Linked DNA regions of Tamandua tetradactyla. The main gene of each other region encodes a partner of the protein of the gene in region 2 in a complex. Links are inferred from orthologs where the notes say so. Each region holds a gene or a part of one and is shown on either strand. Other genes may lie near its edges. The genes, in order: DTL, PCNA, LIG1 and MCM2.

Region 1 (7,181 bases), on a different chromosome or scaffold from region 2:
CAGGTTATGAGAGTGGGAGGAACGCCGGAAAGCTGAAACCAACTGGTATGAAAATTTGTTTTCCTGGTCCCCATGGCTGACCACGCTCTTAATCACCATAACAGGACCCCTAATTCTCATACCATTAGGCTTAATGGTTGGACCCCATATAATAAACTGTCTGAACTCATATGTGCAAAAAAGAATACAAGCTATTAAATTATCAGTCCTTCGAACCCATTATCAACAGATTTATAATCAAAATACAGAAACAATTATTTGATTCTCATAAAACCAGTGGGGAATGTGGGGGGTCAGGAGCAATAAATCAGGCCCTAGCAAGAAGAAGGTATCCGGAGTCACAAGATCCAGGGCGGAAAGTTCCCAAGAGTTAAAAATTGAACAATAATCACTGTTAAGAAACTAAAAGAATGGGATGTATTTTGCAAGAGCTAACGGCATTTTTCTGCTTCAGTAGATGAGCTTGCTTGCTTACAGCTGCAAACCAAGATGTGGCTCTAAAAAGATAATGCCCCTTTCCTGCTTCTGTGGATAAACTTGCGTTTTTTGCCTTTATAAGCCCCCCTTGAGAATCTCTCAGGGCTGCTCTCTGAATCGTCCTTCTTGGGGGTTTCTGAGGCAGTCGCTGGCTGGCTAATAAAGACTCCAAATTGGCTTGCAGTTTTTTAGAATTGTGTGGTCTCTCTTTTGCTGCGCCCCACAACAGTGTTTGCCATTCCTCCACTTTATCAGCTAGGCTTTTCCTGATTATCCTACACAAAATGATAAAATCAACCCCAACCACATACCCAGTTTTCTCTAGCCCCTTTCCCTTGTTTCATTTTCTTTATAATATTTATCATTCTTTGCACAATAAGTTTAATATATTTTATTTTCTTTTTCTTCTTTCTAGAATATAAACTCTATGAGAGCAGGGGTTTTGTTAACTGCCATATCCCTAGCATAAAGCATCATAAAATAAGTAGTGTGTATGAGTGTGTGCGTTTGTGAGAGAAACGGAGCAGAAACTCCTATTAAAATACTTCTGAAATGGTATTATTTGCAACCATAAAAAAAAAAAACACAAAAAATGGACAAAAAGACTTAAATAGACAGAAAATATACAAATGGCCAATAAGCACATGAAAAGATGCTCAAAATTGGGGAATGACATTAGCCATTAGGGAATGCAAATCAAAACCAGAATTAGATACCATTTCATACCTACTAGTAGAATGGCTACTATTAAAAAAACAACAACAGAAAAGTGTTGGAGAGGATGTGGAGAAACAGGAACACTCATTCATTGCAGGTGGTAATATAAAATGGTGCATCTGCTGTGGAAAACAGTCTATAGATTACTCAGAAAGCTACGTAAACAATTACCATATAATTAAACAAGCATACTCAAAAGAATTGAAAGCAGGGACTCAAACAGATATATGCATACTAGTGTTGCAAGAGGCATTATTCAAAACTGCCTAAACATGGAAGCAATGCAAATGGATAACAGACAAATGGATAAATAAACATGATATACAGAAACAATGGAATGATTTAGCCATAAAAAGGAATAAAGTTCTGATACATGCTACAACGTGGTTGACCCCTGAAGATATGTTGAGTGAAATAGTCAGACACTAAAAAACAAATATTGTTTCATCTCACTTCTTTGAAATTAGAATATGCAAATTCAGAGTCGGAAACTAGAACACAAGATGTTGCCAGGGGGGGTGTACAGAATGGGGAGTCAATGTTTAATTCGTACAGAGTTTCTGTTTGGGGGCACTGGAAAAGTTTTGGTAATGGATTGTGGCCATGGTAGCACAGCATTGTGAATGTAATCAACACCACTGAATCATATATTCGAAAGTGGTTTAAATGGGAAATTTTAGGTTGCATATGTGTAATCAGAATAAAATTTTAAAAAAATCATATAACTGTACAACACAGTGGACTCTAATAGTTTTAAGGACTATAGTTAATAAAATGAATTATAGTAATATTGTAATATTGTCTCATCAATTGTAGCAAAAGTTTCACACTAACACCAAGGGTTAATAATACGGAAGATTGTGTCTAAGGGGGCATATATGGAAATTTCAAACTTTCTGCATGATTTTTCTATAAACATACAACTTCTAGAAGGAAGGGGAGAGAGGGGGAGAGAGAGAGAGAGAGAGAGAGGGAGAGAGAGAGGGAGAGGAGAGAGAGAGAGAGAGAAAAAAAAAGAAAAAGAAAGGGAGGAAGGTAGGAAGGAAGAAAGGAAGAGAGAGAAAGGAAGAGAGAAGGATAGAGAGAAGGAAAGAGAGATAAATAGTTTCCTTGCAGTACATACTGGGAAACTGATCCAGAAGTTTGAGAACTAAGAAAATTAAAACTCATAGCCTTCTGAGCCTATTGACTTTTGGCTCACAAAACAAATACTTTCATTAACAAGTGAAAGACAATAGGATTCAATATTTAAAACACCATATGTAAATGAAACTGGCCTTAACATAATTTAAAAGGTGCAGCATGGTGATGTAAGAAAGGACAAGAGTTTTGTTTTTATCTTGTTTTAAATTCTCTTTCAGATCCTGAGACTCATCTAGAACATTGCTAGGAGGATTGAATATATGATCACTTAGTATGTACAACTGATGCCTGATTTATGGTTAAACACTCAATAGTCGGCCATTTACAGATCTAAAATGTTTCTATTTCATCTCTTCTTTAAGAAGGAAAACAATTTGTTAAATTTCTTTTCTTCGCATAACCGCAAATTTTTAGGGATTATGTTTTTCTAGACTGCTCGTTTCTTCTAAGCCCCATCCTGATTCATGTCCTACAACCAATGTCCTACTGTCAACATAGGACAAGTCCCACTGGACCAGTGGTAGAAAGTATCTTTAGAAATGTAAGAGATATTAGATAAAACCGAGACCTGTAACTCTCACTGCGGAATAAGAAAGTATTAGAATAAGGAAGGAAAGATACGGTAGTGTTTTAAGAACAATATAATTTCATAATTTTACATTTCAGTGGGGGGGCAAAAGCTTTTATAAATGAAAGCAAAGAGCAACATCACCTTCTTGGTTGATGGGGATGCACTAAAGATACTGTGACTCAGCCAAAGGACTATTCAATTGAGGTACTGTGACATTTTTATGCTAATCAAAATGATATAAAGGGTCAAGAAAGTCTGAGAAACTCTAATCTAGACCAAAATACTAAAAATGCTTAAATTAAAAGAACCAAACCAAATAAAACCCAAGCCCCCCAAAAGTTAACAGGCATGTCCAAGTTGCATAAAAGGTAAGTGGCTCAAAGCAGTGTTGTGACTTAAAGTCCAGTTCACAATACACGCATACATTAGCTACAGATTATCAAGAATTAACTGTACTACCAACATACAAAATATTTCCCCCAACACAATAAAAAGTCCTTGTAGTACAATAAAACAAAGGTTTCATTTTAATACTTGACTTCTTTACTGATAACTATCCACCTTGTCTTCCATATCCATTTATAAGAAGGAAGGGACATCTTCTTAGCATTTAATACAGACCTCTTTTGCATACACTTAATATTTACAACAATCTTGCCAGGTCATAGGTACTGCACCCACTATCAGTTGTCACTCAGCATTTTTAGAAACTAGCCACTTTAACTATTTGGAAAATCGGGGTACTATGCCCTCAAGTGGTCCAAACAGGGCATCACCAGAGGTCGCTACTTGTTCATCGGTGCAAGGCCAATCAGCGGATCCTGCAGGGTTTCCTCAATTTCCCCCAACAGCCAAAGCTCTAGCCTCATCCAGAGCACAAGGGCAGGGGTTGAGTCCCCGCCCAGAAGGTACGCGCACGCGCCTTTCCCGACGCTCCCCAGGCCAACACCACCTGGGGGCGCCACGTCCCCCCCCACATCTATTTCCCCACTCAGTCCGCTCTTTCGAATACCTTTGTCTAATTCCATAAGGGCAGAGTTAGCATCCAGTTCCTGTTCGCCATAGCCAGCATCTGCCAGGAAAGACTTAGTTGAGTTTGACGCCATGGCCCGAACAGTTTCTTCCCTAACCTATTCATAAAGGTTGCAAACGCTGTCCCAACACCGCCATCTTCTCACACCGCCTTCTCGCGAATTTTTCCGCCGTGCGCTGGCATTCCGTGTTACGCATGCGCCCTGGCCACCACGCGGTTCGCCAACGCCCGTTCAGTCCCCCGCGCAGGCGCTCAGGGAGCTATTGCGCTCCAGGTTCCCGCGGATGGGAGAAAAGGAGGCGGGGATAGGGCGGGAGAAATGACTCTAAGGCGTCCGGACGCCGCGGCAGGAGCCAATCAGAGATCGTTACGTCAGTTTGGCGCGGAGTTTGGTGGCCGGAGCTTGCTGTGGCGGGAGTTGGAGGCACCAACGAGTCGTGTTCTGAGAGGCGCAAGCCACGATTCCTGCTGCACTTGGGGGCATTTCCGCAGGTTTCTTCGCGGTTGAGCCTTCTCCTTCGGTCCAGATGCTCTTCAGTTCGGTGCTCCGCCAGCCCCAGTTTGGCGCCCCGAGAAATGGTAAGTAACGGTCCTAACCGCTGCTTGTTTGCTGGCGGTATCCGTCTTCCGAACACACCTCAAACCAGGGCAGACTAAAATTCTGTTTCCCAACCGACTTTTCCCACGGTAAGAATGAATTAGTGTTGACGCGGACTACTAAGTAAGCTGTACTTTCATTCCCTCAGAATACTTTTTTAAAAATCACAAATATAGGTTGAAGGTGAGAGGAAAGATGAATTAACTGGCCTCCAACGTTCCTTAGGGCCTTAGGTCTGTGTGTTACGCGTTAACCGGGAATCGGCTGCATTTTTTGTTGTTTTTGTCGTTCTCTGTATAATCATATGAGATCCACCAGGACGCCCTGTATTCATTTTGTTTAATTAATTCAGTTGTGTAGAAGCTTACTGAGCCCTTATTTGCTGTGTTTGGAGGGCCACCGATAAATATGACCGGATGCACTGTTAGGAAACTCGGTCACGCAGAGAACGCAGGACATTTCCTGCTGGCAGGGTCCAAATCTCCCCCACCCCCACCCCGATTAATATATGTTCATAAAAATTGGAAATTATTAACTGGACGATCACCATGACCACACCCCCAGACTGTTAATAGGTTGTTTATTCCAGATGTTTTTCGATGCCAGAAATAATACATAGGGTGCTTATTTACAGAGATGAGATCAGAATGTTTTGTTGTTCACTTTAGTGGCTTAACTTGAACATATTTCTATGTTAGTGCGTAGAAATCCAGTTTATTCCCTCAGTTCCTCCTTGACAAGAAGAGTTTTGAGTTTCAATTTGGATGTCATCTACCTGAAACTTTCTAATAGGGAATTACTACCCATTTAAAAGTCGAGTGTACAGGGAGTCTATCATTTCCTTGAAACCATTTGAAAAACAAAAAATGTGAGAAGAGAACCTTCTATGTTTTAAGTGGTAGGTTTAGGAAAAGAAGGTTGAGAAGTAATTCCTCAACAGCCCGCTCTTAATTTAAAACGTTATGCCATCCTTACCTACTCCCCTCTTAGTCTTTTAAATTATGTTCTGTATGTTTCCCTTGTCATGAGTGGCAACATAAGGCTTTGTCTTTGGAGTTAAACAGCCTGTGTTCTAATTCCAGCTCCACTCCTTACTATCTGTGTTGAGACAAGCTATTAATATTTACCCTGTATTTTGTGATGAATTTTCTCCTAAATCTCCAATCTATCTGTCTACTTCTTCCACTTCCTCTTTCTCTTTCACAAATATTCATGCATTGCTATGTTAGGCACTGCAATTTGTGGGACCATCGCCTATCCCTTCAATTTGGTATTCCAATCTTAGCCCCTTTTCCTCTTCTACCCACTCCTTTGGATAATCAGAGCAATAACTGGGGCATCTTCCACTACTACCTATAGCCTTCCAGATCCTATGCTCTTTTTAAAAAAATTTTTTAATGTTTTTTTATTGTGAAATATATATACAAAGAAAAGAAAGAAAAAGCAATAGTTTTCAAAGTACATTTTAACAAGTAGATACAGAACAGATTTCTGAATTTGTTACGGGTTTTCATTCATTCCACTATTTCAGATTTTTCCTTCTAGCTGCTCCAAAACACTGGAGGCTGAAAGAAGTATTAATATAATGATTTAGCATTCATACTCATTTGTGAAATTGTATTTTCTTTGTTATAACTCCTCCTTCAATCCTTCTCCTGTCTGTAAGGGTCTTTCGGCAATGCCCATTCTGATTTTTACATTTTGAGAAAGGGTGTTGACAATGAAGGATAGGGGGATGTAATTAGTTGATAATTTTGGAGAGGCTGATTCCTCTGGATTTCAGAAGTTATCTGGCCTAGGCACCCTCTGGAGGTTATAGATTTCAGGAAAGTAAACTTACTGCATGAAACTTTTATAAAATCTCCATTAGATCCCTAGATATTCTTAAGAGTTAACAAGAATGATGTTGGTTGGGGTTTGACACAACATGGGAATAGGCAATATTTAGCTGAAGCTTATATAAAAGTAGCTCCCAGAATAGCCTCAGTACTCTATTTGAACTCCCTGGGCCACTGAGTCTTATTATGTTGCACTTCTTTTCCTCATTTTGGTCAGGAAAGTACTGTCAGTCCCACGGTGCAGGGCCAAACTCATCTCTTAAAGTCATGTCCCATGTTGTTAGGAAGACTTCCCCCCAAAGGTTGTGTCCTTAGTGGGGAAGTAATGATTTTCCTTGCAGATTTGTAGACCTTAAGCTTTTGACTCATTCTTACAACAGCTGTGTGGATATCTGCACTGAGCTCGTCAGTCTCATAGCCATCTAAAACTCACACGCCCAAAAACTGAACTCATTACTCCCTCAAACCTGCTTTATTTCCTATTTTAGAGAGTGTTCCCAGTTTTAAACCAGTCTTCCCAACCAGAAACCTGGCAGTAACTCTTCACCCCATCTTGAATCTGTTCTAGCTTTACCATGCCATTTCCCTACCTTCTTATCTGTACTGTTTCTCAATGTTGAGAAAGGCAAGTTTCTCAAATGGCCTTAGTTTCCCCCTCTCCAGTTTTTTCTTCAGATTGTTGTCATAGATCATTCTAAACTAGAAATCTGACTACTCTTCTGTGCATTTTCAAGTTGATAAACTAAAATTTTTTATCATAGGTTTAAACAGATGCAAAGAATATAATTTCTGGCATATTGTGAA
Region 2 (7,501 bases):
TTGGAAGATGTATAGGTTTGATCCACAAACCTACTGTTCTGTGGTTTGTAAAAGCAGCACTGAATTTGCCTTCCCCTCTCACAGACTGAATTATAAATTAGATGGCTGTTTTCAACAGTATTTTTATTTTCACAAATTAGTTGTATGTGGAAAGACATGTTTGTTTCTTTAGAATTTTCTTTAATTTCAGCAATTAACCTAATGTTAAACAATAGTATAATTTCCTTCAAATATTTATTTACCTAAAAAAAACTGTACTCAAGGGTGGGCCACGGTGGCTCAGCAGGTAAGAGTGCTCGCCTGCCATGCCCGAGGACCCTGGTTCAATTCCCAGTGCCTGCCCATGTTAAAAAAAAAAAACAAAAACAAAAAACAAACAAACAAAAAACAAACAGACAAAAAAAAAACTGTACTCAAGGGTACATGAGTGGTTCAATGGTAGCCTTCCATATGGGAGACCTGGATTCAATTCCCGGACCATGCAAACCCCCCACCCCCCACCAAAGTCCCACCTAGTGTGGTGCAACGGTGGCTCAGTGGCAAAATTCTTGCCTGCCATGCCAGAGACCCAGGTTTGATTCCCAGTGTCTGCCCGTGCAAAACAAAAACTGTACTCACAGCTTCCTCCTCTTTATCAACATTGCTTGTTTGTGACAACTTAATGTTTCCATTTCCAAGTTCTCCACTTGCAGAAAATTTTACTCCATCTTTTGCACAGGAAATTACAACAGCATCTCCAATATGACTGAGATCTCGGCATATACGTGCAAATTCACCAGAAGGCATCTTTACTACACAGCTATACTCTTGTTCCTTTAAAACAAAAAACAAAAGTAAGTTAACTGCTTGTAATTAAAGATTTAGCAACCCTACTTACTTAAAAGGCCACCAACTTAAATATTCTGATTCTAAGACATCGTGTTATCTCACAATATACTCTATTCAAAAAAAAATACACATGTAATAGTTATAGGAATATTTGTACTAAAAAAAACAAACCTCAAATTAGAGCTTAAACTTTTAATAGTAAATGCACTATCTAATCATCCCTCAGAAGGGATATATCAAGAGGATATCAGGGAATGGCACAGGAATTCTAAAAAACACAACAGGCATTAAAGCATCTAAGACATCTAAGCATTTCTTCTCTCTTCTGATGTTGATAAAGTTAACTCTAATGCATTTCTGCTCAACAAAGTTTTAAAATCTACTTGTAATGACAAACGTTAGTCCAAACACTGAACCCAGCTTGAAACATGTGTCAGTATTTCTAGTAAGTTCTGCCAGGAAGTAGGCTTTAAAATATGAAGTTCAAGACTAGTGGTTAAATTAACATCTTGTATAACTAGCATGACTGTGTATAGCCTGCCCAACAACAGAAACTTGTGATACTCACTGGAATTCCAAGTTGTTCAACATCTAAATCCATTAACTTCATTTCATAGTCTGAAACTTTTTCTTGATCTACCAAAAAAAAAGAAAAAAACTGAAAACAAAACAAATATTGATGAAAAGAAGGATGCAAGCTTATAATTACAATGTAAATTTTACAGGCATCAAAAAAAATCATCTTAAATTTCTCACAGCTTTGAGAAATACTGAAACTGCGTTTTTTTCTAGTATAGCTCAGTAAAAGGGTATGACTTACTCGGTGCTTCAAATACCAGAGCCAAGGTGTCTGCATTATCTTCAGCCCTTAATGTAATGATGTCTTCATTGCCAGCACATTTTAGTATTTTGGACATACTACAACACAGAAGAGGGAGGGTTTTAAATCACTCCTATGTCCTAGAAGTCCTATAGATTTCTAGTGCAATTAAAACAAGGATTTACCATTTTTCACCTGCTCAGTTGTCTGACAATTTGGTGAGAAGAGCACACCGTTAGGGGATGTATAAATGGGTCCAGCCACTTTGGAGTGCAATTTAGCAGTATATACATTTGGGACTAAACTAAAACTGCGCACACCGTACGACCAGCAATTTCACATCTGGTTATGTGCCAAAGAGCAGTACTTTCCGTATTGCAAATGCCTTTAGTGGGTGCTGCAAACCTATCGGAACACATTGCAGGTAGTTATCAGTCAATTATTTCTTAGAAACCTTTGTGCTACCTATCCGTGTGTATATGTAAGTGACCCAAACTGCAACAGAAAACGTCTTCCTGTAGTTATAATGGTCAATAATGTTGAAAGCCAAAGCTGCAGAACATTTCGCACATGCACAAGGATCTTTAGATATTCAGAGAATTCTTAGCAGTAAGAGACCAGATACAACCGACACATTCTCACTAGTTAATAAAGCGGTCTTAATCCAAGGTTCCCCATGTACGACCACCGGCGAGAGATGACCAGACAGCTCAGGCAAGCTTTTTCCCGCCACCGCCCGCTTTGTGACTTTGTGGCGCGGAAAGAGCCGGTTCGCGCGGCTGCCAGCGCGGGCTTTCCCGAACTGCGCGCGCCGCCCGGCCCCGCCCCTCGGCGCCGTAGGCCAATGGGAAGGCGCAGGCGGCCCACGTCAGCCAATGAGGGCCAGGCTCGGTGGTTCTCCCGCCAAGATCAGGGAATGGCGGTGCGCGAAGACTCCCCGCTGCCTCCGTCTCACCTGGTGAGGTTCACGCCCATGGCCAGATTGCGGTCGCAGCGGTACGTGTCAAAGCCCTCAGAGCGCAGGGTGAGCTGCACCAAGGAGACATGGGACGAGTCCATGCTCTGCAGGTTCACGCCGCTCGAGCTGATGTCCCAGCAGGCCTCGTTGATGAGGTCCTTGAGCGCCTCCAGTACCTTTTTCAGGATGGAGCCCTGGACCAGGCGCGCCTCGAACATGGTGGCGGAATCACAACAATGCGGTAACAAACGAGTGAGAAGAAGGAAGTTTTAGTCGGCTTAGGCTTGACAGGGATCCGAGCGGACGAGCAAACGCAGCACCAGGAGCTCGGGACCGAGGAAAAGCACGTCCAGACCGCTGCGTCCGCAACCGTTTAATGGGGCCGCCTCGGCGAGAGCGCGCAGTCCGCCCCTGCGCCGGGGGTCGATACGTCACCACGCTGCCCCCGCCCGCGACCAATCGTATCCCTGCTCCGCGCGAAGCCCGCCTCCATCAAGGTTTCATTGGTGGGGGCGGACGGCAGGGCGGGGCACTCTGCTCCTCCAGAGGAGTGGGGAGTGGTGTTGGCGCAGGTTTCCTAGTCGTTTTACGATGGTCTCGTTGTGGAGGCGAGTCTGGTCGGGGGTGGGTGGGCCATTCCCGGAGTCGGCGAGTGAGCCCCAGCCCTACGGTTTTAGTCCGGTTGTTGTGCGTTCTCTGCCTCCCGCTGTCGGGCCAGCCTGTCTCCAGCCACGAAAGTGAAAGTGAACGCAAATCAAGCCTTTCGGAGGAAATGTTGCCTTGTAGCCTGAAAAGTACAGTTCCTTTAAATATACATTTTATTTTTATTATAGAAGCGATGCACTCCTAAAAGCGTCAAACATTAAAGAGGTGAACAAAGTTATGTTAAAAAAAGTTCGCTCAACTCCCTTCCCCTTCCCTCGCACACACAGCAAGCTCCACCTCAGTCGTTTACTGTATACAGCTTTCTGGGTTCCCCCCACCCCCACCTTCTACAGAAATACACATTAAAAAAAGAAATTGGTTCACAAGGTAAACAGTTTTGCAAAATACTTAAATTCCTTTTATGTCACGGACGTCTTTTCCATATCACTTCCTGTTAAGACGTCAAAATATTCCATAGAGGGTAACTACTTTTATCAATTTCCTGCTGTAGTAAACATCTTTGGGCCTTTCAATGATTTTTTATGAAATCAACTCCTTGAAGTAGAACTGCTGGATTGAAGAGCATATGCATGTTAATTTTTGGTAAATGTTACTAAATTGGCCTCTAAAATAACTGCAGTTTACATTCCAGTTGAGATTTATGAGCATACTCATTTCCTCTTATTTTCCCAGATGTAGATATTAGCAATCTTGTGCTCATTTGTGTGAAAATTTCAATTTGTATATTTAAAAATTGTTTCAAGTTGGGGCATCTTTCACTTTTCTTTTGACCATTGCTTCTTTATATTCTTTACTCTTTTTTTTCTCAAACCGTTTGCTCCTCTCCTACTGATAAAAGGAGCTCTTTACATATGTTAATAATTTACTTATTATATATTATATATATTTATATATATGTCCTCCCTCCCATAGATGCTTGTTGTTTCTCTTTTGTGTTGGTGTTTCTCTATAGTTGCTTTTGATATCTTTTCTTGGTCTGTAGCACTCCAGTTTTTTCTACTGTGTATTTAGGCATGGATTTAGTTTTATTTATCCTGTTCAGGGCATTTTGTGCTTACTGAATCAGAAAATTCATGTCTTTCATCGTCTAGAATATTCTCAACCGTATAATTTACAAATATTGACACTGTTTACTCCATTTTCTCCCTCTCACATTTCTATTAGACATCTATTTCACTGAATGTAAGATATCACCAACTGAAAGATGCACCATTATTTCATATAGCACAAGAAAAATAAACATACTGTCAAACTTCTCACTTAGAATTTCCATTTTGTAATTATTAACAGAGCTTTTAAATTTTAAAGTTTTTTTTATCACATGCCACTCATACCTACATAAAAAAGAAAAATATAAGCAGAATAAATTGGTTAAGGCATTCCTAACATTTCTCCACATTCAGAGATTCCCCCGTAGTTGTTGAAACTGTTGTTTTTCTATATAATGCCCTTCTGTGTGTTGCAATGTTGTTGATTATGCAGCACTTCTCCAGTGCTACTCCTTGTCTCTGGAATTTCTTCCAAGCCCCTGCATCATTTATAGCAAATGCATGCTTGCTACTGTTTCAGTGCTTTCTGATTACATAACAGCATTTTGGTTTAATGTCAAATTAGTGTGTAATCATTTTGAAGACATCTTAAATAGTAATTAAACTTGACCCATGTGATACCCACAGTACTCAGTAATCAGTTGAAATGAGAACAGATGAGGGGCTATGATCTGTAGAATAGGCCTCTCTGAGTAGGCTTATTTATCCTCCAATATCTAACCATTTGGAGAGTGGAAGGAAGAACAACAGGCTGAGAGAATAGCTTGTTTAAAGAAAACATGCTGGGCGTTGAAACAGGAAGGTGTTTCTTTTGGTATTCAGAGATTGATGTGTCTGGAAACACTGATCAAATGGGAGAATACTACGAGGTTGGGTTGCAAAAAGAGGTGGAGTGAGATCATCTAGGACTTTGTAGGCCTTATATAAGCAAGAGAAAGTTACCAAATGCAGGTGTTTCACATATTCAATTTGCATTTTAAGAGAATCACTTTAAGATCTAGTGAAGATGCTATTCCAATCAATGGGAGAAAGAATGAATTAAGTAAAAGATGATCAAGCAATTGGTTAAAACTTCAGAAAAGTATAAAGCCATAGATGTCCTAATAACTAATCACCAAAATAAATTCCAGATAGATTAAACAGTTAAAATTCAAATAAATGGAAAATAAAATATTGATAAATATTTATGAGATCTTGCTGTGGGCTTCTAAACCTAAAAGCAAAGGGAAAAATACATAACAGATAAGAAATGACTACATAAATTTTAAAACTTCAGTATGCCTAAAAGCACTGTGTTGGTTATTAAACTTTGGATTTGCAGTGACAGAGAACCTATCTCAAATTGACTTAGGAAAAAAAGAGAAATTTGTTAATTGAAACAAAAAGAAAGAGGTATCCGGCTTTCAGTAGTCCAGACCCAGTCTTTACATGAAAAAACTAAAAAGGTTCCCCACACTAATAAGCAAAGGCATGCAAATTAAGGGAAGATGGAATTTTAACCTAACAATATTAATTTTAACCTACCACATTAATAAAAATTGTGTTAACACACTATTAGAAAAAATTCAAGGAAATGGGCACCATCTTGTATTGCAGGTAGGAGTATAAAATGGTATACTTTTCTGGTGGGAATTTGACGATGTGTATCAAAACGCTTAGAATTGTATTTATTCTTTGACACAGAATTCAATTTCTAGGATTTTTTTCTGAGGATATAATCAGAAATGTTTAAGATCAAGCTTGTTTAAGAATGTTTTTTACAGAATTATTAATAATTCAACTGAAATTGGAAGTAACCTTAACATCTAATAATATGGTCTTAGGTAAATTATGGTAAATCCATTAGATCAAATACCATATGGCCTTTAAATGATCATTCTCAAAGAGTATTTAAGGATAAAGAGAATAGTTGAGTTATGAAACAGTATAAATAACATAGTTCCAATTTTCTAAATTACTATATCTGGGTATACCTGCACAGAAAACAGAATGGAAAGAATGTTCATGTTAGCAGTAATTATCTTCAACTGATGCTACCACAAATGGTTTTAATTTCTTTCATTATATGTTTCTGCATTTTCCAAACATTCTTCACTCAAGATGTGTTGTTGATCAGAAAATGTTAATGAATATTGGGAGAGAAAAAAGCTGTAAACTATTTTGCATAAATTTTCAGCAAATTTTTTCACAAGCTGATAATGTATCAAAATGATTCTCAAGGCTAATTGCATATTAGACTCACTTGGGAAGGTTTTAAAAACGAAAAATGGCCTTTTTCCTTTAGGCCCCATTTCCAGCTCTTATTTAGTGGGTCTGGGTAGCCCTTTCCATCAGTATCTTTTTTTTTAGAAGTTCCCAGGTAATTCTAATGAATAATCACGATTGAAAAGCACTGTTAATATGATGTGTGATCAACAGATGAATATTTGTGCTTGAAGCCACCTGCTTCTCCATATAGAATATTGCTTTGAAAAAGACTCAGTTTGTTAGAGAGGAGACTAACATACAGTTTAAGTGAAATGTCTAGGAATTGATAGAGCTGTAAGTTTTCAGGAATACAGAATTTGCATTTTTTAATGCTTAATACGGTTGACAGCTCTGCATAGCCTCTTAATTCCATTTCTTGTGTTACCACATTAAAATGAATAAGGAGCTTTATCTGTCTGAGAACACTTGTCAAACTAAGAACTAGAAAGCCTGTATGAAGGGCAAGATATCGAATAGAGAAAGCTTTTTTAGTTTATTGACAATCCTTTGGTAAAAGAGAGGAAACCACTCTCAGGGAAATGATGAATTTTGGGGTTGCTTGTACGATTTCAACATTGAGGGGAAGTATTTTTATTCATTATAAAATGATAATTATAGCAGTAGCTGCCGACTTACACTGAGCTCTGGGTAAGTCTGCACATTCCAGAGAAATAGGAATCCCATGCTATTTATGTCTACTAATCAACATAGCATCTAAAAATAAAGGAACTAACCAAGGAGTGCTGTGAAAATAAATCACTATAAACCAGATATGCCGCAGGCATGGAAGAAATGACCCCACAATGACAAGGAGCAGAAAAGAGAATTGGGGTGCTCCTTGTCATGAAGGAGGTGCTCCTCCATAGAAGAGGAGGTGAAAGGTAATGTGAAGGATTCCTTTTTTTTTTTATAGTGAGAAATTGTCTATATATA
Region 3 (7,014 bases), on a different chromosome or scaffold from region 2:
ATGCTTGGGACAGCGCCTGCACACAGTAAGCATCATGAGTTTGTTAAACCAAATACATACATAAATAAAACCCTCAATGTCCTCACTAGTCACCTCCTCTGGGAAGCTTTTCAGAACTACCTGGTAAGCACCCAGGTTACCATGCCTCTTTTATTCTCCTTTCTGCCCTCCTCAACCTCTCTCTCCCTACTGGGGACTGGTGAGCTTATAATTTTGTTTCATTTGTCTTTGTCTTCTCTATTAGGTTCAAGGGCAGAGATCAGCTCTGGGTGCCAAGTGCCCAGTGAAGGGCATGCACATGGTAGGTCTTTAATATATGTTGTTATATTGAATTGGGTTCTGTTAACAGAGAAATTCTAGATTAGGCCTGACCTGCTTGTGAGCTCTGGATTTCTGCATGATTATATGTTTGACGCTGTTCTGCTTTCACATCTCTGGATCTGTTAAGCAGGGAGTAAATAAGAAAGAAGAGTAATCCTATAGTAAACATTTAAACAGCTATGGATGAGAGGAGCTAGCTGTTAGAGAGTACTCACTCTGTGCCAGATGCCCTTCATACATTTGATATGTATTACTAAATCCTCACTAAATCCTGAGATAGATACTATTACTTCCCCACTTTCCAAAAAGAAAACTGAGGCCCAGAGAGGCAAAGCCACTTGCTTGAGGGCATTGGTTAATCAGTATAAGAGCTGTCCTATGTACCATACGACACTGTGCACGCCCTATCTGATCCTGGCTGCTGGCTCCAGAGTCCACGCCCTCGACCCCCCTCACAGTTATCATTTAACCAGCTGCCCTGCATTCCAGGAAGTTGGGTAAGTGCTTTCCTGTGTGTGATCTCACCATAACCTCACAACAGTCCCATGAGATAGCTACTGCCATGTTCCCATTTCTGAGATGAGAAAACTGAGGCTGAGAGATACCCATCCAGAAGTCGGGGTCCCATCTCAGGCAGCCTGAAGGCAGAGCCTGTGTGTTTAAGCATTCCTCTCTCATCTATGGCTCCCCAGCCAAGGGTCTCATACCCATGCATCTACAGGGGCCAGGGAGGCAAAACAAGGATGCAACACTGCAAAGAATGAGGCAGCAGAGAGGTGGGGTTGGGGTAATCCTGAGCACCAATGCCTGTATACAGGGGGTGGCTATCTGCTACACAGGAATAGGGGCTCAGCCAATTCCTGTGTTTCTAAGGGAAGCTGGAAACCCTACATTGTATGGAGAATGTTTCCATTTTAAAACGGGTCATTAAAAATAGCCTTGGTCACTTGGGTGGTTCCCTAGCTCTCTTGTGGATTTCTCACCTGCTCCTTATCTTTATAGCATTACACAGTTGTACAGAATTACTTGAGAGACTGACTGTCCATTTACTGTCAGTCTCCCTGAAAGTTCCAGAGGGCTGGGACTTTGCCTGTAGGGCACTTTCTTACCCCCTGTCCCTGGCTCTCCCTGTTCCCAGCACCCAGCATGAGGCCTGGCCTCAAGGGACAGATCTTTATTTTTGTCCCTGTGGCTTTCCCTGCACCTCAATCTCCAAGTCTCTGTTCTGTTCTAAGTGGGCAAAACCAGGGTCTCTCCCAATTTTTCCCTGACTCCAAGTCTCCAGGTCTCTGGAATTTTTTGTCTATGGGGTGGGTCTCCATCTCACTCTCTGCCTCTCTATAGATCTCTGGCAAAGCCTGTAATGCCTGCTCTGTCCCTTCCTCTGTTTCCCTTTCTCAGCATGTTTCTCTCTTGGTCTCTCACCGTCTCTCTGGAAGGTATATTTGTCTGTCTCGGTGCGACTGTCTCTCCACCCCTCCTCCAGACCCCCCTGCTCCCTCCCTGCCGGGCAGCGGCTCAGGCTCACGCACCCTACTGCGGGCCGGCTGGGAGCGCGCAGGTCCTTGCACACGAGCCGCACATAGCTGTACTTGAGCACGTCGATGAGCGTGTAGAGCGGGGGTGCACCGGCCCAGCGGCAGCGCGCCAGGTGCATGGAGCTCTTGACGAAGAAGAGGGCCCGCCGCTGCAGGCACCATGCGTCGAAGAAGCGACTGAACTCCGCCCAAGAGAAAAAAGCCCGCTCCCGCAGTTCCTGCTCCTCCTGCCCCGCCACGGAGCCGGGTGGGGGCTCCAGCCGCTCCATTCTGGGGCGCCTGAGAGGGAGTGACAACTGGGTATCAGTTCCGTTCCTTCCTGGGATGTCCCACTTCCACCACTCTTCACCTGCCCCTTAAGCGCTGGTACCTATACTCTGGTGGGGTCAGGGATGGATACACCCATTTTTATCTCCAGATATGAACAGCGCCCCCCTCATCTTTTGGCCATCTGTGACACACTCTTCCTGGCGGCTACCCCTGGAACAGCTAGGGCCTGTCACCCTGATCCCTAATTCCAAGACTGGTCCCCTTTCCCTAGAAGTGAGTCCTGGGTCCATTTGCGGCCACTCAAAATACGACAAGCGTGTTCCCAACTACAGCTGAGTCCCCCCCCCCCCCACAACGAGCCTCTAACACTTGGCGGTTACCCCCCACATAATCCCCATTCATGTGGGACTCCCCCATGTACCTTCACTTGGTTGTAACTCCACCTGCCCTGAATTCAGCTGTATCCCCTTCTAAAGATGCTCCACAACTATATGTACTGCCCCCCCCCCCCCCCACATCCAGTCACGGACCCCTTATCCCCAGACGTGCTCCTCAAGCACGTGGGGCTTGCTCCAGAGATGAACCTCCAATATTGCAGCTGGTGCTGGTCCCCCAAATGTGACCCCACGTGCCATCCGACTGTGACTCCTGTTTCCCAGAGATGCTTCCATTCAAAGTGTGCTCCCCACATCCAGTTACGGCCTCTTCGCCCACAGGTGCTTGCCCTATCCATTTGTGGCCAATTATCAAAAGTGTCACAAATAATTCATCTGTGACCCCTCTCCTCCCTAGATGCGCCCCTGTCAGATGCATTCAGCTGCGTCTCCGTTCTGTCAGCTACGGCCACCATCCTCCCCAGATGTGTATTTTCGTCCTAGACTCGGCCTCTTATCCTCACACGGGCTTCTTCATCCCAGATGCTCCCCGGATCCAGGTGCATCTTCCTCCCTACCTCGTGTAATCCCTTCCAGCTCGCTCCCACTTCGCCAGTCCGGCCCCATCCACCGCGGCCCCTCCCAGCCCGGCCGTCCCACCCAGCTGGGCCTTTCCCCTCCTCCAGCTGTGCACCCTTCCCGCCCCTCCCCACTCACCTACGCTCCGGATCAGCGTCCACCTCCCACAATGCCTCGCGTCGGAGCACGGCGCGGCCCTCGCTCCCGGGATGCCCTGCGCAGCCTGCCGCCTCTCTTCCCGTCGTGCCTCGCGCCGCGGCGTTCTCCGAATTTCCTTTACTCGCCGCGGGTCACTCCAGCGACCAGGAGCCACACCTGCTCACCCAGGCGCAGGATGTTTCCCAGCGTGCTCTGCGTGAAGGATCGCCCCGCTTATCCTCTTCTTCCGACTGCCTCCGTGTCAGGGAACTCCAACTCCCAGCGTCCCCCGGGAAGCGACGGCAACTTCTGGCTTGCGGAAGTCACCCAGGCCTCGCCCCTCGGCTCGGCTCCGCCCCCGGCCGCCAAATTCTGCGCGCGAATTCCGTGGCGCGAGTTTGGGCTGCGGTGGCGCGGCGAGTGGTTCTAAGCGTGGTACCCGGGACAGCAGTGTGCGGGGCCGGCGCGAGGCAGGTGGGGCCTCCTGCGAAGGGCTGGGGGGGTTGGAGGCAGCGCGTGACGAACGCTTGGTGCGCTTGGCTTTGCCGGGCCCGGGTCGCTGCAAGGGAGTGGATGTGGGGGATGCTGAGGGCGTGGTGGGGAGAGGTGAGCGCGGGCAGCGGGCTGCGGGGCGCCGGAAGGGACGGGGGGAGGCTGTCTGACGGAGAGGGGCCTGAGAGAAGGTAGACCAGGGCCAAAGCCTGTCAGCCCGGAGGCATACGAGAGAGGCCTGAGGGGGCGGGGCCAGAGAGGACGGGGGCGGGGCCAGTCAGTACTCGAACTGGCAATCTGAGACGGGACGGGGCCAGCTACTGCTATGAAGGGCCGGAGGAGGCGAGACCAGCTTTGTCTTGTTGCCCAAAGTGAGGGGAAGGAATAGAGGAGCTTGGGGAGGGAAGACCGCTGAATCTTGACCTTCTTAGGAGCAGGGGAAGCTTGAAGGGTCAGGGGAAGGGCACTTGGCCTGGAGAACAGCGTTTGGAGAGGGATGCTGTCTCTGAAAGTCAGGGGGCCTTGAAGAGGGATACAGCAGAAAAGGGGTTAAGGCATTACCTCTTGGCCTTATCCCCATTTTTCCCCTTTTGAATAACTTATTAGGCATCCTACCAAGGGGCGTGAGGGAAAGTAGAGTCGAAAAACATCTTAATTTCTTCTTGTCTTAGAACCCCTTAGAATCTACGACTGTAGATTTCCCCCAGCATTCCAGAGATTCTGATGCAAGAGGTCAGGGGGTGGGTGGGGATTTTTTTTAACATTCTTTATTGTGAAATATATACAAAAAAGCAATAAATTTAAAAGTACATTGTTACAAGTAGTTATAGTACAAATTTCAGACTTTGGTATGGGTTTCAGTTCTACAATTATAGGTTTCTCCTCACTACTGCAGGACATAGGAAACTAAAAGAAGTATCAGTATAATGATTCAGCAGTCATACTCGTTTGTTAAATCCTGTCTTTGTTCTAACTCCTCCTCCTCCTCTGATCCTTCTCCCAATCTTTAGGGGTATTTGAGTTATGCCCATTCTAACTATTTCATGTTGTAAAGGGCTGTCGATAATAGGGAGATGTATCGAGTTGATGTTTTTGAAGAGGCTGACCCCTCTGGGTTTCAGGATTTATCCGGCCTAGGAACCCATCTGGAGGTTGTAAGTTTCTGGGAAGTAGTCTTAGTGTGTGAAACTTGTGTGTGAAACTTTTGTAGAATCTCAGATAGAGCCCTAGGTATTCTTAAGGCTTAACAGGAATGGAGTGGTTTTCTTTGGGGTTTGGAAAACTGGTAATTAGCAATATCTACCTGAAGCTTGCATAAGTAGCTTCTAGAATAGGCTCTCGACTCTATTTGAAATCTTTTAGCCATTGATACCTTATTTTGTTACATTTCTTTTCCCTCTTTTTGGTGAGGAAAGTATTATTGATCCCATGGTGCCAGTGCCACTGCCAGACTCATCCCTGGAAGTCATGACCCACATTGCAAGGGGAACGTTCACCCCCTGGATGTCATGTCTCAAGTATTGGGGAGAGTAATGATTTTATTTGCAGAGTTGAGCTTAGAGAGAGAAAGCCCATATCTGAGCAACAAAAGAGGTTTCCTGGAAGTAACTCTCAGGCATAACAATAAGTAGGCTTGGCTTCTCTGCTACAGAAGTAGGCTTCACAAGAGCAAGCCTTAAGATCAAGGGCTTGGCCTATTGACTTGGGAGTCCCTAATGTTTGAAACAGTATCAGGAGTTTACCCAGTGGTAAAGCTTAATAGTTACATATTTTTTCTCCATCCCTCAAGGGATTTTTTCAATACTTTTTAATTATCTGTGCAACATACTCTGGGATGCATCTGGGTATTGCTTTAAGCTATACAGATTTACAAGTCCTCCTTTCCATTCTTGGCTCCATGTGTTTGAGTTGTTTAAATGAGCTATGCAGACAGGTTGAGTTAGATTATGTGCTACATCAGATTTAGGTTTTGGACAAAATAATCTTCTCTTCCTTTGGTCTCATGTACTAGGTGAAGTTTTAAAATACAGACAATGTCATTTTTCCCTTGTATTCTGATTTACCTTAGTCCCAACCCGATTGTCTTCATTCTTATCTCTACTTGAAGCCTGATCTTTTTTTTTTGGTTTTTTTAACAGTTGTTGTACATAGATGGCAGTGCTGACTTTCAGAAGGCAGAATTCCAATTCTGAGTCTTAGGTGTCACTCAGGTAGCCAAAGTTCCAGGGAGATACCAAGTTATACATATGTAACACAGCATGTCAAAATCTAGGAATAATATTTACATCTCTGGACTAAATGTGACTGCTATAAGAGCTTACAATCTAGGCCCCGATTTTCTTATGAATATTTTCTAAAAGAGACCATACAATATTTGTGCTTTTGTTTCTGGCTTATTTTGCACCACTTAATGTCCCCAAGGTTCATTCACCTTGTTGCATGCCTCACAACTTTGTTCCTTTCTGTAGCCACACAATATTCCATCATATATATGGAATATGTGTATATATACACACACACACACACCACAGTTCACCATTCTACTTCTCATTCAGTGTAGCCTTCAGTCACTCAATCCATTGGGCAGCATGTATAATGTCCAAAGTCAACAATTCCTGTCTCACATTATCTTCACTTAGTTGTATAATCAACACTCTTCAATTTTAGATAATTTTAATTGCTCCAAAGCGAAAAATAACCTACAAACCAACCCTCACCAAATAGAAAATCCGAACCTCCCCTTCTGTCCTTCCCCGTCCCTCCACTCCCACCCTCCAGTTATTTACCCCTAGTATTGCTGTGGTTTGTTGATGTCTTCCTGGTAAATACAGACCATAACATGCAATAATAGTTTTACCCTTATACCCCTCTATTATTGATTCTTTGTACAAGGTTCATACCTTTGAAGTAGTTCATGCAAGAACTTAATTTGTAGTAGTTAATCAGTGGAATACATGAGTCTATACAACCCTTTTCAGTCATGTTCACCTTCACTTTGTCAATATTACTTATAAACCCACTATTGAACTGCCTTCACTTCTGTCCATTCAGATATTTTAAACACAAATCCCAGGTGATTCCTGGAACTGGGATCCTCCATTTCTGGTATCATTCATGAACTGGTTGTGTGGTCCTGCACAAAGCACTTTGTTTATCCCAGCTCAGCTTCCTCAATTCTTTTTTGAGGGAAATGAATCTCTTTTAAGTCTCTGAGGATGGGGGGGGAGGTAACATATTTAGGGGTAAGGTGTAAAATATTTGACAGGACATAGCTAGGAGAGCAGACAGGTCAGGAAATTGAA
Region 4 (7,988 bases), on a different chromosome or scaffold from region 2:
ATTAATCCTCCTGGTCACTCCAGCCAGTTGTGAATTATAAGCCCCATTTAACAGAATAGGACACTGAAGTGGAGACTGTTGAAATAGTGAAGAATTGCAAAGTAAAAGGGAGGGATCTTATCTAGTGACCTTGGCATCAAGCCGTCATCTAAAGAACACAATTTCATCTGGACTCAGAGGGGAAGATTTCAGGAGAGATGAGTCCATCTCGGCCCCACTGTGTATTGCCTGCACCCTGACCCCCTACAGCCAATCAGTTTCAAGTCCCACCCATGCCACTTTGAAATTAATTCCTCCCCTTCCTTCTCTTTTGGGTTATGATACATTCAGCCTGCAAGTAACAAAAGTCGAATGAGCTGTTGTTTAAGCCACAATGACATTTGTTCTTCACTGAAGTCATCCAGAGGCTGGATGGGTTTGGCAGTTCAGCAGAGTTTTCGAGGATTCAGCTCAAGTGATTGCCCAGCTATGCCATTATGTCAGTTTGAAAGTATTTATGTACCCCAGAAAAGCCATGTTTTAATCCTGATTAAATCTTGTGAAGGCAGCCATTTCTTTTAATCCTAATTCAATACTGTGGGGTAAAACCTTTTGATTGGATTGTCTCTGTGGCGATGTGGCACCTCCAATTGTGGGTGTGACCTTTTGATTCGATGGAGCTGTGACTCCACCCATTCGAGGCGGGTCTTGAATAGTTTACTGGAATCCTTTAAAAGAGGAAACATTTTGGAGAGAGTCAGAAATGACAGAGCAGAGCCAACACAGAGGCTGACAGTTGGAGAACAGAGACATGATGTTTGGAGATGCTTGGAGCCCAGCAGATGTTACCATGAGATGTTAAACAAGCTGGAATCTGGAGAGAGCCAAGGGAAGCCAAGAGATGAAAGCCTGCCCCAGAGAAGCAAAGTGAGGAACCCCCACAGGAACAGAGGCTGAGCGCAGTGGAGCCCAGGAGCAAAGGACCAGCAAATGCTACCCATGTGCCTTTTCAGCTGACAGAGTGTTCCAGACCCACTGGCCTTTCTTGAGTGAAGGTACCCTCTTGTTGGGGCCTTAATTTGGACACATTCATTTCCTTATAACTGTAAACTTGTAACTTATTAAATTCATTTTTAAAAGCTGTGCTGGTTTGAAAGGATGCATGTTCCCTAGAAAAGCCATGTTTTAATCTAAATCCCATTTCATAAAGGCAGAATAATCCCTATTCAACACTGTATGTTTGAAACTGTAATCAGATCATCTCCCTGGAGATGTGATTTAATCAAGAGTGGTTGTTAGGCTGGATTAGGGGATGACATGTCTCCACCCATTTGAGTGGGTCTTGATAAGTTTCTGGAGTCCTATAAAAGAGGAAACATTTTGGAAAATGAAAAAGATTCAGAGCGAGCAGAATGACATAGCCACGAGAAGCAGAGTCCACCAGCCAGCGACCTTTGGAGATGAAGAAGGAAAATGCCTCCCAGAGAGCTTCATGAAACAGGAAGCCAGGAGAAGTTAGCAGATGATGCTGTGTTCGCCATGTGCCCTTCCAGCTGAGAGAGAAGCCTGACTGTGTTTGCCATGTGCCTTCTCACTTGAGAAACCCTGAACTTCATCAGCCTTCTTGAACCAAGGTATCTTTCCTTGGATGCCTTTGATTGCACATTTCTACAGACTTGTTTTAATTGGGACATTTTCTCGGCTTTAGAACTGTAAACTAGCATCTGATTAAATTCCCCCTTTTAAATACCATTCTGTTTCTGATATATTGCATTCCAGCAGCTAGCAAACTAGAACAAAAGCCATCCATTTCTGGTATATTGTATTCCAGCTGCTTGCAAACTAATACACCCATCTTCAGTGTATTGGTGACTCTCTGCTCATTAGTGACAGGAGGGCTGTACAGGTGTCAGCATATATCTTCACATTAGAGCAGCTGAACCCTGAGAAAGAAGCAAGTGGGGTAGGCATAGGAAATTGTCTCTTCGTTTGGCAGGGGTTATCTACAGTGGGTTCATATTGCAGTGCTGGCAATGTGACCTAAGTGGGAGCTGGCTGGAGGTTTCTGTAAATGTTTTCCCCCTCAGTGGAAAAGGCTGTAATAAGGAGGAAGACTTTCTGACGTGAGAGGCTTAGGCCAACCCTAATTTATCCCCCAGAGCTGCCCAAGTAAAATCAGATTCTGGTGACTAGGAAGAAGGGATGGCATTCAGATAAGGGTGGAGGAGATTCCTGGTTTTGCACCACACCCTTCTGCTGCCTTCCATCCTAGAAGAGGTAAAGTTAAGCACATAACCAGCCAGTTAGATGCTACATTGCCCAGCCTCCCTCACTGTTAGAGAGGGTCATTGGCTAAATACTCACAAATGGATCAGGAGTGGAAATAATGTAATCACTTGTTGTTCTTATTAAAGAAAATTGAGTTTAAAGAAAATTGAGTGTCCTGGTCTTCAGGCCTTTCCCTTTTCAGAGCTGGAATGCTGATGTGCCTGCAGCAATGTGAATGAGACATGAGAATGGTGTGACAATGGGTTGCTGAATGAAGTGCAGGAGAGCCACCCACCTACCAGGTCCATCTCCATCTGACTTGATACAGGAGAATGAAATAGACATCTCTTATCTCCAAAACCACTATACTTTTGGTCCTCTCAGAATAGCATAACTAATTCTGTAGGCAGTCAACAGTCTCAGCCATAACCCCATCCCCAACTGTCCCCACTCTGGCTTAGGCAGCATTCTGTCTATATGAATGAAGACAACACTAGCCTCTAGGCTCCTCCACTACCCATTCATATCCCATTGCCAGCCAAAGTGATTCTTCTTAAATGCAATTTTAACCCTGCCACACGCCTGCCAAATTTTTCTGATAACTTTCTGATACCTGTAGAATTAAAGTCCTAGCCCTTTAGCCATGACCTGGCCTCTGTGCAATTGTCATGTCATGAGCTGCACCATGGAGAGGCCTCATGGCAAGGAAACAAGGGAGGCCCCACCCAATGGCCAGTGTGGAGCGGAGGCCCTCACTTCAATACCCTACAGGGAAATGAATCCTGTCATGTGGGTGAGCTAGGAAGTGAATCCTCCCCCAGCTGAGCCTTCAGATGAGACAGCAGCTCCAGGCAGTATCTTGACTGTAGCCTGGTGAGAAACATCAAGTCAGAGGTACACAGTTAAGTCATACCCAGATCCCCAATCCACGGAATCTTGGGATAACAAATGTTAATTGTCTTGAGCTGCTAAATTTGGGGATAATCTGTTACACAGCAATAGATAACTAAAACAATCCCATCCACTATCTCTTCTCTAGTTTTTCCCTCAGCATTCCTTTGGCAATTCCTTCCCAGCATCCTTTGTTGGTGTCCGTCAAGGTTTAAAGCTGTAGATACCCCAGAAAAATATACACTTAAATCTAGTCCAATCCTCCGGGTGTGAAGCCATTGTAAAAGTAGGGTCTTTTGATCAGGCTATTTCAGTTAAGGTGTGGCCCACTTCATTCAGGATGGATCTTAATCCTACTACTGGAGTCCTTTATAAATGGAATTAATGCAGAGAGAGAAAGAGAAAGCCATAGAAGCAACAAGCTGAAATCAACAAAACATAGAAGAGAAGGGAGAGACCAGCAGATGCCACCATATGCCTTGCCGTGGTTCAGCCAAGGATTCCTGGCAACTGGTCTCCAGGAAGAAAGCATTGACTTGATGATGGTTTGATTTGGGCACTTTCTTGGCCTCAAAATCTGTAAACTAATAGATTCTTATCATTTAAGCCAACCCATTTCATGGTATCTGCTTTAAGCAGCCTAGGAAATGAAAGCAGTATCTATTAACGGTTGGGGCTTCTTGAAGAAGGCCCAGTCTTAGGCCTTCTTCTCTCCTCACTGCACTCATTCTCTGGATTATGCAATCAGTCCCAAGCCCTCTATAGCTTTATCCCGTCTCCTGATTCCCAGACCTGAATATCCAGTGGCTTCCACTCAGAACCCATGTGGAACACAGCCAGAAAACAAATTAATCTGCTGCCCGCATCCCCAACCTCACTTCCCCAATTAGCTTGTCTTCCTCCCGTGTTCCCCATCTCAGAGATTGAGCCTCATCCTCCTAGTCTCCTAGGCCAGAATCCTGGTGCGATCTTGGATCTCTCCCTTTGGCTGTCCTTTAGCATCTTTTAAACACCTCTTAGATGTTTCCTGTCCTCACCATGTCTCCTGCCCCTACCCTGGGCCTAGGTCCCATCTAGAGGAGCTTGTACACAGCACAGAGCACCTGGCCAAGGCCGCTGAAATCCAAGCCCTGCCTCTGCTCACCAAGTGAAGTGCCTTAGCCAAGAGTTGCCTGTAACTGGAGGAATAAACTGGAGCAGCTTCCTCCCTCATTTGCCACCCTTCCGTCTGGTCGTGTCCATCTCCACCCTGTATTAGCCTGAGGGGGGTTTCCTAAAGCTCGCTTCTGTCTCACCTTGCTCTTTTGTGGCTCTCCATTGCCCTCAGGATAAGATTCACATTCCCTAGGCAACACTTACTTTTGTAAATTGTGCGCTCTAATCTCAAATCTTGTCTCTTCCTGAGCATCCCAAGTTTTCACGCTGTCTCAGGCTTATGTCTCTGCACATAACATTCTTTTCTACTTGGAACATCCTTCCTGCATCTTTACTCCCTTTGTGGAGGACAGATCTACTAGATGCCGCTTCCTACAATGCCAGGGATCTTTTCTGTGCTTTAAATACTGGGCCTTAGAGCTCTCAGAGAAGTTGTCCTCTACTAAAACAGTCAGTAGGCCATATAAACAAGCTCTGTTGAAGGGATCAGCCACTCAGACCCCAAGTGCCTCTTCTATAAAACAGCCAGAACTTGACCAAGGCTCCAGTTCACCCACATCCAAAACCAGGGGCTAAACCGCTGCGAGTGGGCACACTTGGCTGCGCCCTCTGGAGGCGGGGCCCGCAGGCCGGCGTGGGCGGAGCCGGATTCGCTGGCCCGCCCCTCGCGCGCGCCGGCGGGACGGAAGTCGGCGTCACGACGCTGTGTTCATTACTCCCGACGCTTCCCGGGCTCGGGTGGGTCACGTGAGTCACTTTTCGCGCGAAATTCGGCGGCTGCCTGAGGAGCGGGAAGGAGCACGGCGTCGCGATGGCGGTGAGCTGGCCCGGGCGCGGCGGCGTGGGGTGGGGCGGGCACTCCCCGCGCAGGCTGCACGTTTGTACGGGCTGTGCCGGGCGGAGTGTAGACGTGCGTGGCTTGTCTAGTCCTCAGGCGCGCGCCCTGCTCCCGCCCCGCTTCACGGCCCCGGCGAGTTCCGGTGGTCCGGGCAGAGCTTGGGAACCCGCTTCTCTCTTTTCCTCCCCTTTTCCGCGGTGTGAAAAGCAAGGGGGCCCCGCAACTGTCCTTTTCCTTCGCAGCAATCTAGGCTCCCGAAGCCGAGCCCGGCTGGCTCGTGTCCTATCCTTTACTCCGCCTGCGCATGCTTACTGGGCGCCATCTCCCTGCCTGGTCTTGGGCAGACGCCAGACTAATTGTGTTGTACTGTTTTATTGCCCGTCCCCGTCAGTCTGTGAATTCCAGACCTGGTATATTTGGGTTGCTGTTGTAGCCTGGCACTTTGTGGGGGCCCAAATGGGTCGGATGCATGCTTAAAAAAGGTGAAAACAGACTATACCAGGGCAAATAAACAAATGGCATAGCACGAGTGATTTCTCAGGTAAGCAGTATCTGAGCTGGGTCCTGGATGTTGAGAAGCCAGTGGCTTCTTGAGATCAGGGGAGAGCCCTGCAGACAGAGGGAATAGGAAGTACCAAGGTCCTAAGACTGGCAGGGGGCTTGGTGTGTTTGAGGACAGGGTCATCAGGACTGGTGAAGGGAGAGATTGGTTGGAGATCAGATGGGAGGGGAAGGTCACCCCTTAAGACAGAAGGGAGGCTGTGTCAGCCCTCATCTCACCAGTTTTTAACAGCAGCAGCTTTTCTTGCAGGAGTCATCTGAATCCTTCACAGTGGCATCCAGCCCAGCCCAGCGTCGGAGAAATGCTGATCCTCTTACCTCCAGCCCTGGCCGAAGCTCCCGTCGCACAGATGCCCTGACTTCCAGCCCTGGCCGGGACCTTCCTCCGTTTGAAGACGAGTCCGAGGGGTTACTAGGCACAGAGGGGCCCCTGGAAGAAGAAGAGGATGGAGAGGAGCTTATCGGAGATGGCATGGAGAGGTATCTGAGACCTTGGACTCAACAGATTGCTTTGTTTGCAGAAAGCCTATTGTGTGCCTGGCAACCTTTCTAGCATCAATTAAAATCCTTCTTTGCCCTTGCGCACAGCTCGATCTAGGGTCTAGGGGGAAACTAGACAGATTCATGGAACCCCAAAAGAGGTCCATTTAACTCAGAAAGGCTAGACCCTAAGGCCTCAGTAAGCCCCAACTCCATGAGGTCATGGGGAATGCAGAAGGGCCACAGCAGGAGGTGCCAATTTAGTAAGTGGGCAGCCACGTGTTTCTCTGCTGCTTTTCAAAGAAGCGGTGTGATGTGGGTCCAGTTAATCAAGACTTAGCTTTGTTCTAGCAAACGTTTATTGGGCCTACTCTACCAAGATGTGAGTTATATACCTTCACATTTATTATCTCATATAACCCTCATAAGAATAAACATGTATTAAAGGTCATTGAGACTTAATATTAAGACATGGTGGAGTAAGCGCTGCAAGTGAGAAGGTTAGATCTCTACTCCTAGCCTGTATTCACTGCTTGGATTTGGTAGATACTTTAGTATCTTTAGAATTGTGTGGTTGCTCAGGAGCCTCATGTGAATTCTCCTTTTGTGCCTATCTTTACCCTCACTTTGGGGGTCCCAAACTTAGTGGATGTGAGACTGCTATACGGGCCATGGCACAAAAGGTGAATGCTACTCTTTATGAGCCATTTAAGGGATTTTCATAGGTACCTTGGCCATATAGGGTTTTTCCTTTAAAGACTTCCCGTAGAACCTTACACAAGTATGTGTTCAGCCCTAGCCAGCCTATAGGAAGGAATAAAGACTCTTTGGAGAAATCTCCTGGACCTAGGGACAGGATATACAATATGGGTGGCTTCCCTGTTGTAGGCTATGGAGTTTTCAGGCAGGATGCCCCTCCCCAGCCTTCTCTCTCCTGGCCTTTCTCTTTGTTTCTCTTTCCATGTTTCATGGAGAGTGAGAGACATTGTAGGGAGCCTCAGGATAGAGGCATCTAAGCTGGCTGCCGTTGAGTTAGGTTTTGGGTGTGTGTGTGTTTGAAACAACTTTATTGAGGTGTAATATAAAATTCACCGTTGTAAATGTTGAGTTCCATGCTAAGTTGTGCGACCACCACCACAATCCAGTTAAAACATTTTTCCATCATCCCAATGAAATCCCTGTGCCTTTTTTACAGTTAATCCCCCACCCCTACTCTAGGCAACCACTAATCTACTTTCTGTCCCATAGAGATTTGCTAGTTTGGCACATTTCATATAAATAGAATCATATAATAATGTGGTCTTTTGTGACTGGCTTCTTTCACTTAGTGTAATTTTCAAGGTTCATCATTATTTAGTAGCGTGTGTTGGTACTTCATTTCTTTTTATATATTTATTTTTGGGGGTGGATATACCATATTTAGTTTATCCATTGATCAGTTGATGGCCATTGGGGTTGTTTCTGTTTTCTTTTTTTTTTTTTTAACTGTTAATGAATAATGGTGCTATGGCTGTTTGCCTTTGAGTCTTCCTCTGAACATGTGTTTTCATTCCTCTTGGCTATATACCTCTTGGCTATATCCCTGGATCAGACGGTAACTCCGTTTAAGCTTTTGAGGAACTGCCGGACTGTTTTCCAAAGAAGCTGCACCATTTAGCAATCCCATAAGCAGTATATGAGGGCTCCGGTCTTCAACACCCTTTCCTAACACTTGTTATTTTCTTTTTGATTCTAACCTCCTGGTGGGTATGAAGTGAAGTTTCATACCACTTTTGATTTGCATTTCCCTAGTGACTAATGATGTTGAGTGCCCTTT

The links.
Region 1: the proteins of PCNA (region 2) and DTL are in contact, whole or in part, in a crystal structure (PDB 6QC0), measured with the Homo sapiens proteins. The link is inferred for Tamandua tetradactyla from reciprocal best matches to the Homo sapiens genes PCNA and DTL. Residues at the interface, in NP_002583.1 of Homo sapiens: Met40, Ser43, His44, Val45, Ser46, Leu47, Glu124, Gln125, Leu126, Gly127, Ile128, Pro129, Ala208, Tyr211, Asp232, Val233, Pro234, Tyr250, Leu251, Ala252, Pro253, Lys254, Ile255, Glu256; in NP_057532.4 of Homo sapiens: Ser705, Met706, Arg707, Lys708, Ile709, Cys710, Tyr712, Phe713, His714, Arg715.
Region 3: the proteins of PCNA (region 2) and LIG1 are in contact, whole or in part, in a cryo-EM structure (PDB 8B8T), measured with the Homo sapiens proteins. The link is inferred for Tamandua tetradactyla from reciprocal best matches to the Homo sapiens genes PCNA and LIG1. Residues at the interface, in NP_002583.1 of Homo sapiens: Met40, Ser43, His44, Val45, Leu47, Leu126, Gly155, Arg210, Ala252, Pro253, Lys254, Ile255; in NP_000225.1 of Homo sapiens: Ala361, Gly363, Arg364, Ser368, Ser388, Thr389, Gln390, Arg391, Leu392, Met393, Leu394, Val432.
Region 4: PCNA (region 2) and MCM2 share a complex: the UniProt entries of both Homo sapiens proteins name them as parts of the replisome complex. The link is inferred for Tamandua tetradactyla from reciprocal best matches to the Homo sapiens genes PCNA and MCM2.

What each region holds. Positions count from the first base shown.
Region 1 is NC_135330.1:70,022,673-70,029,853, reverse strand, and holds the start of DTL (denticleless protein homolog), read left to right. Parts: upstream 1-4,177; 5' UTR 4,178-4,468; coding exon 4,469-4,520; exon of another isoform or gene 4,521-4,628; intron 4,629-7,181. Other genes in the region: INTS7 (integrator complex subunit 7), read right to left, coding at 3,921-4,014. UniProt on the Homo sapiens protein: Substrate-specific adapter of a DCX (DDB1-CUL4-X-box) E3 ubiquitin-protein ligase complex required for cell cycle control, DNA damage response and translesion DNA synthesis.
Region 2 is NC_135327.1:55,684,083-55,691,583, reverse strand, and holds the start of PCNA (proliferating cell nuclear antigen), read right to left. Parts: upstream 3,019-7,501; 5' UTR 2,825-3,018; coding exon 2,604-2,824; intron 1,747-2,603; coding exon 1,649-1,746; intron 1,465-1,648; coding exon 1,397-1,464; intron 814-1,396; coding exon 619-813; intron 1-618. UniProt on the Homo sapiens protein: Auxiliary protein of DNA polymerase delta and epsilon, is involved in the control of eukaryotic DNA replication by increasing the polymerase's processibility during elongation of the leading strand.
Region 3 is NC_135342.1:12,941,062-12,948,075, forward strand, and holds the start of LIG1 (DNA ligase 1), read left to right. Parts: upstream 1-4,002; 5' UTR 4,003-4,037; coding exon 4,038-4,083; intron 4,084-7,014. Other genes in the region: uncharacterized protein ZSWIM9, read right to left, coding at 1,854-2,128.
Region 4 is NC_135335.1:30,176,528-30,184,515, forward strand, and holds the start of MCM2 (DNA replication licensing factor MCM2), read left to right. Parts: upstream 1-4,982; 5' UTR 4,983-5,104; coding exon 5,105-5,110; intron 5,111-5,942; coding exon 5,943-6,172; intron 6,173-7,988. UniProt on the Homo sapiens protein: Acts as a component of the MCM2-7 complex (MCM complex) which is the replicative helicase essential for 'once per cell cycle' DNA replication initiation and elongation in eukaryotic cells.